Arabidopsis thaliana: one gene and its partners. The protein of the gene in region 2 interacts with the protein of the main gene of each other region in a pairwise test. Each region holds a gene or a part of one and is shown on either strand. Other genes may lie near its edges.

What was found.
Region 1: the proteins of AT5G50840 (region 2) and AT5G61330 interact in a two-hybrid assay, tested with the Arabidopsis thaliana proteins (one large-scale study listed by BioGRID).
Region 3: the proteins of AT5G50840 (region 2) and AT5G22310 interact in a two-hybrid assay, tested with the Arabidopsis thaliana proteins (one large-scale study listed by BioGRID).

What each region holds. Positions count from the first base shown.
Region 1 is NC_003076.8:24,659,638-24,663,393, forward strand, and holds the start of AT5G61330 (rRNA processing protein-like protein), read right to left. Parts: upstream 1,605-3,756; 5' UTR 699-1,604; coding exon 683-698; intron 595-682; exon of another isoform or gene 484-594; coding exon 386-483; intron 302-385; coding exon 1-301. Other genes in the region: AT5G61340 (uncharacterized protein), read right to left, coding at 2,427-3,506.
Region 2 is NC_003076.8:20,683,769-20,687,524, forward strand, and holds the start of AT5G50840 (alpha-taxilin-like protein), read left to right. Parts: upstream 1-2,049; 5' UTR 2,050-2,134; coding exon 2,135-2,426; intron 2,427-2,515; coding exon 2,516-2,583; intron 2,584-2,677; coding exon 2,678-2,789; intron 2,790-2,884; coding exon 2,885-2,952; intron 2,953-3,050; coding exon 3,051-3,128; intron 3,129-3,650; coding exon 3,651-3,715; intron 3,716-3,756. Other genes in the region: AT5G50830 (nuclear polyadenylated RNA-binding protein), read left to right, coding at 1-299, 472-539, 617-781.
Region 3 is NC_003076.8:7,384,067-7,387,822, forward strand, and holds the start of AT5G22310 (trichohyalin-like protein), read right to left. Parts: upstream 1,768-3,756; 5' UTR 1,280-1,767; coding exon 851-1,279; intron 768-850; coding exon 675-767; intron 600-674; coding exon 1-599.

The DNA of each region.
Region 1 (3,756 bases), 4.0 Mb from region 2:
CTTGTGAACGAAGCTCCTTGACCTCTTTCTCAAGCTCTTCCATCTGAGCATCTTTATTGTCATCATTACCTTCATCGCCACTCTCACTCTCTTTATCATTTCCATCTTCAAAGTCCTCGCTTTCTCCATCCTCGTCTTCCTTGTTCTCTCCTTCATCATCTTCCTCGCTATCTCCTTCATCATCTTCCTCGGTATCTCCTTCATCGTCTTCCTCACTCTCTCCCTCATCATCTTCCATGCTATCTACTTCATCATCCTCTATCCCATCAGGTAATTGATCATCTTCATTGTCGCTTTCGGCCTATAATATAGAGAACCCTCAACCAAATAAATTCACCTATACCATCTAAATAACTTAAACGAGACAAAAGCAACATAAACATACCTTAAGGTTTTCTTGGTCGCTTATGTCTTCCGATTCACTGTCAAGTCTTGCTCTTTTAGACCTCTTTGACCCCCCAGCCATTTTAACAACTTTTAATGCTGCAATCACGAAAAACTAACTCAATTGAGGAAGGAGAAACTATTATACAGTGGATTAAGCAATAAAAATATTGAAACAAATAAAGAAGGACCAAATATAGAGCAACAATGAGGTAACCATACCATCAAACAAGCTTTGTCAAAAGCTTCAAACATAAAAAAAAAAAAAAAAAAAAAAAAAAAAAAAAAAAACAGAGACCTATAGATAATCTCATAAAAACAGCTCACGTGGATCAGTCAAAGGGTCTTTGATCAGTGCAGAATCACGAGGGTAGCTAATTGGTGATAAGGAAGCACAAGGAGACAAATGTATATAGGGAGAATTCTAGATTGACAATCAATGATAGAAAGCAACCCCAAGCCTTTAAAAATCGACCCATCAGATTGCACACACAAATCAGGTTCATTGTTGGAGAGGTTGCGGAGCCACAGATGCCATGGCTCAAGACATGGACAAGGGCCCTCTCCTATAAAGTTCAAAGATTGACTCCTCGTAACTAAATTAAACATCAAAAGCCACACACTTTACTCATAACCTGCTCAGACCTTTTACTTTAACATTCATCATCTCCACCACAATGTCACAAACAGATTACAAAGAACAACATTCTAGAGCTAACACAAGTTTAAAGCAAGAAAACTTTTGAATCAAACTAGTTTATGAGTTCGAATGTTTCAGGAAGAGAAACGATTAAATGAAAAAGGGAGAGACTTTGAGCAGATACGCAAGAGAAAGCAGTGAATTTTGAAAATTAAAAGGAATCATACAAGCAGAGGAGCTTACCTAAAAGCTCTGTAGAAGCTGAGACGCAAATAGGAGAGGTTATATCTTCGACTTGGAATCGCAGAAACTGGGAATCGTCTCAAGCACAAAGCTGTCTACGAGCAGAGGAAAAGTAAAAGTAAGAAGAAGCTCTCAACCAACTCTGGAAATATTAAAACCCTAGAGGTTTCGCTTAACCCATGAACCGGCCGGTTCAACCAAAAATCCGGTTTAAATGTTTTAATTTTGGTTTGATAGGACCAGATTATACGATTCGGTCGGTCGGACCTGGGATTATAAACCCTTGATCCTAATTCCTAAATATGGACCATGAATGATTACATTGTTTTGTATGTTTGGAAAGCTACAAAATTTTGCTTGTTATAAAATTCATCTTTTTGTGCTTAATTGTTTCTTGATCTCTTTAGATGCAACATTTCCGGATTCCACTCTTTTTAACCTATAAAAGTAAATTAGATTCATTCATAATTTCTCCATTAGAAGAAATTTTAGGTAGTACTGAACTATTGTATTAAAGGGCTTTTTGTTAAAGAGGTTCAAGTAGAGAGATTAGTGATGTAGACCACCCACTAGCCATTTTTTGTCTTTTTAAGTTGAGCTTTTATCATTAACACAATTTCAATGTATTATTAGGATTTTCATTCAACGAAAAATACAAAAAGTTCAATTGCTTTCGCCTCTACCGTCTATTTAAAGATAATTGTGACATTTCTTCTTCTCTCTTTGTAATGAAAGATTTTGCTTGAACTTATCCTTGCTCAAAAACAAAAGACTCTTCACTCTTGTTAAAGTGTGAATCTAGTCAACATCTTCATAACTTAAGGAAGTAATCAAAATCATTGCTAATTAATATATTTTGTCGGCAATGAAATTATACTGTAGGATTAACCAAATGTGAATTCCAAGATTTGCATTAATTAAAATTTCTGGTATATTTGACTTTACAATGTGGAAAAAAAAGAGACTAAAATAAAGAAAAGCAGAAACAGAGGAAGAAGAAAAAGTTTTGCAGATCCTGTGATTGTTCTTTACTGTGTGTGTACCTTTGCTCTTCTTTGAAGTGAAAGCTACTTGAGATTATCCTTAAAGAATCAATAATCTCATAAAGTTTTTCACTTTTTTTGTATAAGTAATAATTACATCAACCAACACAAGAGAGTCACAAGATTTCTTGCAAGTTCTTTGATCCTTTGATGTGTATCTTTGTGTTCTCTGTTTCGCTGATTTGGATCTTGATTGAATACTCGTCTTCTCTACCGATATTTTGATCTTCCTCGTTTTTGATGCAGCTCTGGTAAAAGAGGAAGTTGACTATGGTGTCAAGAACCAAGAAGAGAGCGTATAAGTAAGCTATGAAGGTTCCTTCAAGAGCTATGGATATGATATCTCTGTCTCCATTGTAATAAGATCTCATGACTCGGTACTGAAACAAGGCTTCGACTCCTGCTAAGCCGAGATTGGTAGGCAGAGCAAGAGCCATTGCTGTTGAATTTCTTCCGCGAATCAGAAGACACGCCTTGAGGATGTTTGTGTATCCTCCCGAGGAAGAAGAAGGTGATGAAACCAAGGCTAGATTAGAGATGACAAAGGCGTTTGCGATGATAATTGAGTAGATGATTGCTGAGGATAGGGAGAGGAAAGTGTAGAAGTTTCTTGAAGAGAATCCAAAGGCTTCAAGGGTATTGTATGCTAAGAAAAACAGAGCAAAAGCAGAGGCGTTTGCAGAGAGAAGGAAGAAGAAGTTGCAAACGTAAGTTTTGAGAAGCCGGAGGTAGAAAACAGAGGAGGAATCTGCAGAGTGATTGTTTGATAGAAGTTTGATGACGTAAGCTTTGGATAAAAGGAGGAATGTGAGGGAGAAAGGAAGAGTGAATAAAGAGGAAGATAGGGTTTGTGAGAGTTTAAGGCTTAAGATGTTGAAGAAGTCATGAGAAGAAGAGAAACCCGCTCCGCGGAAGAGCATGTTAAGCCTCATGTGAAGGGTGGAAGAGGAAGAAGAGAAGAAAGGCTGAGAGAGGAGGAGACCGGCGGAGAAAGGGAGGGCCACGGCGGCTGCGGTGGTGACACGGTGGTAGTTTTGGAGGAAAGTGTGAATTGACCTTCTCATGATCTTGCTTGGATCCTCCATTGTCTTCTTCATTCTAGTTTTTGCTATTTTCTTTTCTTTGGAGAAGTTTGAATATGTGTGTTTCTTGAATGATCCACCAAATCTTGAAAGGGTTTTCTCAATGCAGGTCATCTATATATATGTATATAAAATATGTAATGATTTTTATATTATTTATATATTTTTTTGCTAAAATTTAATTGTGGGTTGGGTGTTAGAGAAGAGAATGGAGATAGGCCAACCGATTTTGCCTGAAGATGAGGAGTTGTTTAGACAAACTAATCAAATTAAAACTCTTCTTTTTCTTTGTGAAGCAAAGTTTTTTGCATGGAATAGAATCTTTCGTGTGAGTAAAATAATACATAACACCTCCTTGTTAGGT
Region 2 (3,756 bases):
AGATGATGTTAAAGAGGTGAAGGAAGAAGTAGTTGTGAACAAACAAGAAGAGGACAATCATCATCAAGATGTTGTGGAGAAACAAGAGGAGGAAAATAAAGAGGTTGTGAAGAAGCAAGAGGAGGAAAATCATGATGATGATGTGGTCGTCATCAATGTTAAGAAGGAAGGAGATGATGGTAAGAATCATGATGTTGATGAAGGGAGTATCAACAACTTTGATGAGAGAATGATTGGTCCTGGATCTCCAAGCTTTAGGGTTTATTGCGTCGATGTTCCTTCTGATGATGATGATGAAGGTAAATCATATGTTCTTATACAAACACACATATATACATGTATAAATCATTTACTATTTGTATTTGTATATGGATGCATGCATTGTTAGAGACATATATATGTTTATATATGAAATGCTTGTTATATTATGTAGTTTCGTTATTGAAACAATTTATCCATTCACTATTGCAGAAAAAGATGTAGAAGACGCGAGAAAGTCGATGGAAACCGAAAGCGTCACGACAGAGATAAAAGAGGTGGTCAATCACATTAATTCACATTATTGATTATTTGATCTATGAGGATCTCTAACAATGATATATTTGTATTTCTATAGGACGGAAGCATTGTCAAAAAGGAGAAAAAAGAAAGAAGAGGAAAGAGGTTCGGAATCGCATTGCCGAGGAAGTATTTAGCAAATGTGACTGCGCCGTGCTATGCAGGTGGAGGATGCATGGGAAACACTCATTCTCGTTTGGTGCAAGAGAAATCGAGCCAGTGATCGATCAAAATATGTTTGCCATCTTTGCATTGACTGATTTGTTGAAGTAAGAATGGTGTGGTGTACGTACGGGATCACGATGAATAATCAAAACCACCTTACGATTTTAGACCTTTGATTTGTTTTAAGAGACGCTTGTTTCAGAATTTGTACAACCTCTTCTTCTTCACCTTTGCTTTCTTTGATCAGGATAATTAAGTTAGTGTTTGACGAATTTACTTTTTTCCACGTGGAAAGATGTAATTAATTGAACTTGTGCAATAAAAAAAGTGTTGTCTAAATGTCAAATTTATTGTTACATTAACCAATGAAAATAAAATTAGAGTAACATATAGGAAACTGCAATTATAGAAGAAAAAACACACTAAAAGGTGTAAGTAATTGAACTTTGTGAATTCCGTTTGTTTTCGGAATGCACAAGTGTTAGTCATAATAGGAAAGATAAAAATCTTAATTACAAATCCTAAAATACAATTTTTAATTTATTTTTTAGAGTTTATATTAATATGTCGTCAAAAACGGTATATTATTCAGAACAAAATTATCGTTGACCATTAGTTAATTAATAACCAAGTTCAAATTTGATAATTTGAAAGTTTATTTAGACAAAATTAATTAGTTGAAAGTTTTATCAATGATGGCCTCTTAAATTTTTAACTTTTTTTTGTTGAGTTTTATAAAAAAGAAAAAATGGTTTTCAAACTAAATTTGTTTATGATCATGTTTATCCGAGTTAAGCCCAATTTGAGATCTTTGTCAGTAATGACTAAGAGTACCTCCCGCATATAGAATTCATGTAGTTTCTAAAACATATATATATTTTTTTAACTTTTAAATATATATATTTTTTTAATTGTATGAGTTTCTACTAAAAAATTACTATTGAAGTTGGTCTAAGTTGCGAGACCAAATTTTTATATGCTTTCGGTTCGAATTGACATTTCTCTGTGTAAACGAAGCATCAATAAGAATTTATCAAACTTGAATGTAACACCATTTCTTTAGTTGATCATTTCCAAACATTTATTAATCAAATAAAATTGAATTTCAAAGTCACGTGATAATGATGATACTCAAATTTAAAAAACCAATAACACTTTATTTCAACATTTCTATGAAGAAATCAATTATTAACACTTAAAGTTATTAATTGAATAACAACGAACAACATTTAATTTAGTCAAAATTAGATTTTTTTTTTCTTTTTTTTGGTTTTATTGTTAAGATTTTATACCAAATAAAATTTTACAAACGAATCTAAAAGAAAGAACAAATTTAAACTTACCTATCAGAATTGTTGTAAGATATTTGGGTTTTCTTCGTATTAGGTTTCATCAGATCCAGACTCAAAAAATGGAGTCACCGCACTCGAATTTGCTCCCTGAAGTCGATTCTTTACCCGATGGATTCGTCGACGGCGCAACAGAGCCGCCTCTCAATTCTCCCAAGACCCAGGAAGAAACAACAAACCATGAAACTGTTGCGATCGAGAAAACAGAGAAGCCAAGAACTTTTCCGGTTCCGTTGTGTGAAACTGATGGTAATGAAGATGACGAAGTAGCTGACCTAATTCAAGAATCAATCAAGCTTGAGTTAGAGTTCGAGCAGAAAGAAAAAGAAGCTTCTCCTCCTATTTCTCAAACATGTGAGTGAAAATGTGAAGCTTAATTTCTTTATAGGAATTTGCTTCTTTTGTAACCTAAAGTTTGTTTCTTTGCTTTTTGTTTGAGTTAGTGTCAGAAGGGTCAACTCAAAATTCAACCTTGTCTAAGGAAATGGATTCACTCAAACCCAAAAAACAAGTCAGTATTTTGATGAGTTCTTCAATCTTGTTGCTTTGAGAAGAATATATGTTGAAGATGATGTATCTGATTTGTGTGCTGATGATATTGAAAGCAGGAGGTGGTTGAGAGCAAGCGTAAGGGTTCAAAGAATATGTTCAAATCAGAGAAAGAGTTTTTGGAATTTATGCTCAAGTATCAGCAAGTCCTTTCTGAAAGAGATTCTGGTAATAGGATATCAATAAAACCAAACTAGTTTTGTGTTACCTTCATCGTTTAATGCTTTATAGTCTGTACTCATCATTATTGTTTTTAACCGTAGCTATTACTGTTCGTGACAAGCTTGAATCACTTTGTAGAGAGTTACAACGTCAGAACAAAATGTTAATGGTTTGTTCTTTCTTTCTTCTTGCTTACTCTACTTGGTGTGTCTTGTTTTGAGGAACTAACCTTTTGGTGTGTAAACTAAATGTTCCTTTGTATAACAGGAAGAATGCAAGAGGGTTTCAACTGAGGGACAGACTTTAAGATCGGATTTATCGACAAAGTTCCAGGATGCTATAATGGTAAGTTGAACACATTTTTCTTTCGATGTGAATTCTTCCCAGGGTTTTGATCTTTGCTGAATATAGAAATTTGAGCCATTTTGCCGTCGGTATTGGCAGTTTTAGAGAGGAACAAGTATTGGATAATAGCTTTGTTTTGTGTTTCTAAGTATGCAAATCTTAAATGCACATCATTTATTGATCCTTGTTATATTTTCTTAGGATATTATCTCCTTTAATCTTCCGTGCTATATGCTTTGGACAGTCATGGCAATATCTTTTTCTTCTTTCTGAAACTCTCTACACTGACATTGGCAAATGTTAGTACCGATCTACACTAAAATTTAGTCCTTGGAAATAATTGGAACTAAACAAAGTAGAAAATTGTCCATATTGGTTTCAAGTTACAGATTGATAGAACTAAGTTTGATGAATTGCTTGCAGGCTTTTGCAACATCAAAAACTTACAAAAACAAAATCAGAATTTATTTGATTGATTTTTTTCTTATGCTCTCTACCTTCCTAATCCTCTTTTGTTTATAGGATGTGAGCATTAAGTTGGACGAGCAAAAGAATGAAAGCCTCACGCAACTCAAAGAAAATGAGATGTAAGCGGAAAGAACTCAATCATAACATGTTCATTTGGAGT
Region 3 (3,756 bases), about 13 Mb from region 2:
ATCTCCGACGACCCTTTTCCTTCTTCACCATCCAAAACCCGCCGGAGCTCCTTCTTCAGCCGCTCCACGGCGGCGTATTTATCTTCGAACTCAAACTTCGCCTCCGTAAGCTTCATTTGAACTCTCTCTTCCCTCAAAACATCAGCTATATGCATCATCTCTCTCTCTTTCTCCATCTCCTTCTTATCATCTCCGATTCCTTTAGTTAGCTCATCACAAACCTCTTCAAGAACATCTTTAGCTCTCTTCTCTCTTTTCATCTCCTCCTTCATCTTCCTCTCTGTTTCTTTAGCCTCCGTGAGCTCTCTCCCTAATCTTCTATTCATCTTCTCTGTTCTTCGCCGGAGTTTTCTCTCAACCATCGCCTCTTCTTGTAGACTCTCTATCAACCTCCGCTTCTCCTCTTCCTCTTCATCTAATTCACTCATTAGATGCTTTAGTGAAGATCTTGCTCTGTCTAGTTCACATAACAAAGCAGAGATCAAACGATTGCTTGCTGTCTTGTGATCATCTCCGAGCTCACCGATCCTTTTTAATACCTTTACCAGTTCTTTAGACGTTGTTAATCCGTCACTGACATTCTTGAAACGAGTTTTCACCTGTAATATAATTAAGAATCAGACCTTTCTTCTTCCGCAAGAAAAGTGTTTTTAGGGTAAGATTGCAAATCATACCGAGTTTGCGCCAATGATTTTGTATTCAATTGGGTTTAATTTCTGAGGATTTGTTGATCTTCTACGAATCATATCGTCACAGAGATCGATTCTCTGTGCAATTTTGATTTTTCAGACTTAGAATTTCAGAAAGAAAAAAAACACAGAGGAAACTTGAAACTGAAGCAAACCCTAACCTCTGAGCTTAGACGAGAAATCGGATCGGATGATCGTGGCGGGAAATCAATGGAAGAGAACTCTGTTGATTTCTTCGCTCTGTATCTCGATGGTTTCTTGCTTCTCAAGCAATCTTTATCAGAATTTACCGGAGGGTCTGCGTCGTCGTTGATTTCCCACAGCGTCGCAGCTAGCTTTCTCGCCGACACGCAGCTTTTCTGCAATTGATGATGATCTATAGGAAGATTTTCCGGCGAAAACGATAACAGAACTGGAGTTTTAGCGGCGGTGATGGACTTAACAGGAGTTCCTGAGCCACCGTCGTCTTGAGCGGCTCTTTTCCCGGCGAAAATTGCACGTTTGAAGCGGTTTCGACGAGCAAGTGAAGAAGAAGAAGAGGAAGAACCACCTCTCTTCCTGATCTTACAACCTTTCTTCCGTTGTTCCATAGTTGATATTCAAAACAACAAATCAGAACACAAAATTTTACCAAATCTTGCCGGAAAACAAGAGAAAAAAATAGGATTGAAATTGGTGCTTTTTAGGAGAAGTGAGTCATCTTCTAAGATCAGAAGCAGTTTCTGGAAGATTTTGTTTTTGAATCTCTAAATAGACTTTAAAGTGAGTGAAAGAGAAAGATAATACAAAAAGTGAAAGTTAAGATGATGTTTTTACTTCTTCTTAAAAGCAAAAGAAGAGAAGAGTAATAAGATTCTTGATCCCTTTGAAGACGTTGTGATTTGTGAAAAAGAAGTTTTGAATCTGGGAAATTGTGTTTTATTTTCTTGGGAGAAGAGAGATGTTGAAGAAGAGGAAAGAAAGATGGAGACAGTGTGGTGTTTTTGTGTTTGTGCGTTGTCTATTTGGGCAATGTAAATTTTCTTTGGAGGGTTCATGAACCGATGTTGTCCAATTTCGTCATTAATTTTAACAAAAATAATTTCATAATCAATGAGTACAAATATTGTTGCCGCTAACTCATTAATGCAACAATGACTTGCAAAAAGATATCATGGAATCCATGTTTCCAAATTAGTGCTTTCTAAAGAGTTTAGAATCTTTAGACCACAAGTTAACCTGGTTTGATCGGATTAGACAGGATTCTATTAAGTTTTTGTAGGCTTTTCTGGAGAAGAAAAAAAGAAGAGCATCAAATAAAGACAACGTACTAGATTATCAAAACTAGCATTAACCTCTATGCTAACGTCAAAAGCTAACATGTGTTTTCTAGAACTTGCCAAAAGTCGAACAGAACACGGGTTTAGGTCACAATTTAACCTCGTTTGATCGGATTAAGACCCGACTCATTTCGTTTTTGATTAGTATTTTTTTTTTGGGAAATAATATGAACGTCAAAAGAGTTAAAGACAACGTACTACGTACTACTATAAAGTAGCATTGTTTTCAACAAACATGAATATGGGTGACATATTTTGAAATAAATGAATATGCATAGACAAGGCAAGATACATGAGCCAAGAAAGTATACTCCTTTTTTCTTATGTTTTAGGAAAAAAAATTGTATTGAATTAGATGATGTTTTTTTATTTTTAATGCAAAATTGATTAGTTTTTATTGATTTTGACGATTTATATCATGCAGATTGTTCAATTATGATTGAATAGTGTTTAGAAAGATAATATATAGTATTTTTGTTTAAATGCGAATATTTGTTATACACAATCCAAAAACACAAACAGAAATATAATTATTATAAATCATTTTCGTTTAGGATTGAATAGTTCTTCATTTTATGTTTTAGGATTGTGTTTATAAACTTATGGCTTTTGTCTAGAGAGGTAGGTATTAAGATCAATACACTAAAATTTTACAGACAGTTGTTATAAGTTATTGGAATTGTCGCACATCGAAACTTTGACAATTTTGACACTAATATATATAGTAGATGTTCAATCATTGCTAAAAATCTCTCATTAAACAATCATAGTTACACAATGAATACATGGTTTTAGATTTTTGGATTCATAAAAAAAAATATTGCTGCTCTAAAACATATAGGATTTTTTGAATGTAAATCAGACATAAAATTTCCTAGATGCCTTAACGATTACTACTATCCAATCATAATTCACAACTCAAAACCAATGATTGTCTCTATACTAATTTGAACACAAGTTTTGTGATTGGCATATGAATTATGAAAGACAGGCACATGCTGAGTACAAATAATAGTAAATACTTATGGAACATCCCAAAGAGATAGATGCCTTCTCTGCCAGTCAAATCAAATCCATCCTCCAGATTCTTTTAACTCCATTACAAATAATTTAACATATTACTAATTTAAAAATAAATTAATACGAGTAAAAAAGAATTTTAAAATGTGTGAAGACTAGAGAAGTGCCACGATGATAGAAGAAAAATACAACATAGATGAACGGTTCAGATTAAAAAGAGTTCTAGTCTGTTTCTCTTTTATTCCTTTGAGTCTTTGACTACTACTCACATATCACATGGAGAATTTGACAAAAATGTCATATCACTATACTTTTATTCAATATACTAACTACTCTTGCAGCAGCAATCTAAACTCTACTTTAAAAACGACGTTCTTTTTTGTCAAATAAGCTAAACTAAAAAAATATCGTTTACAATATACAATACATACTATGGGTAATTACATACATTCAATACGGGTAGATACGGACATTTTGAACTAGCAAATCGGTTTTAACATTAGCATTACAAAACAAACATAGGAAACAAAAGAAGATGACAAAAATTTCTAACTCTTCTCTACGTCTTCATAATATATCACAAATGTAGACCACATTTACACCTAATCGGAATAGTCTGCACTAAAATTAATTTAGTTTTCTTTTCTGAAATCAAAATTCAAACTTCTCATTGTCCAAACTAGTGTTTCCACATTTTTCCTAGCATTTAGCTTGTATCATTTTATTTC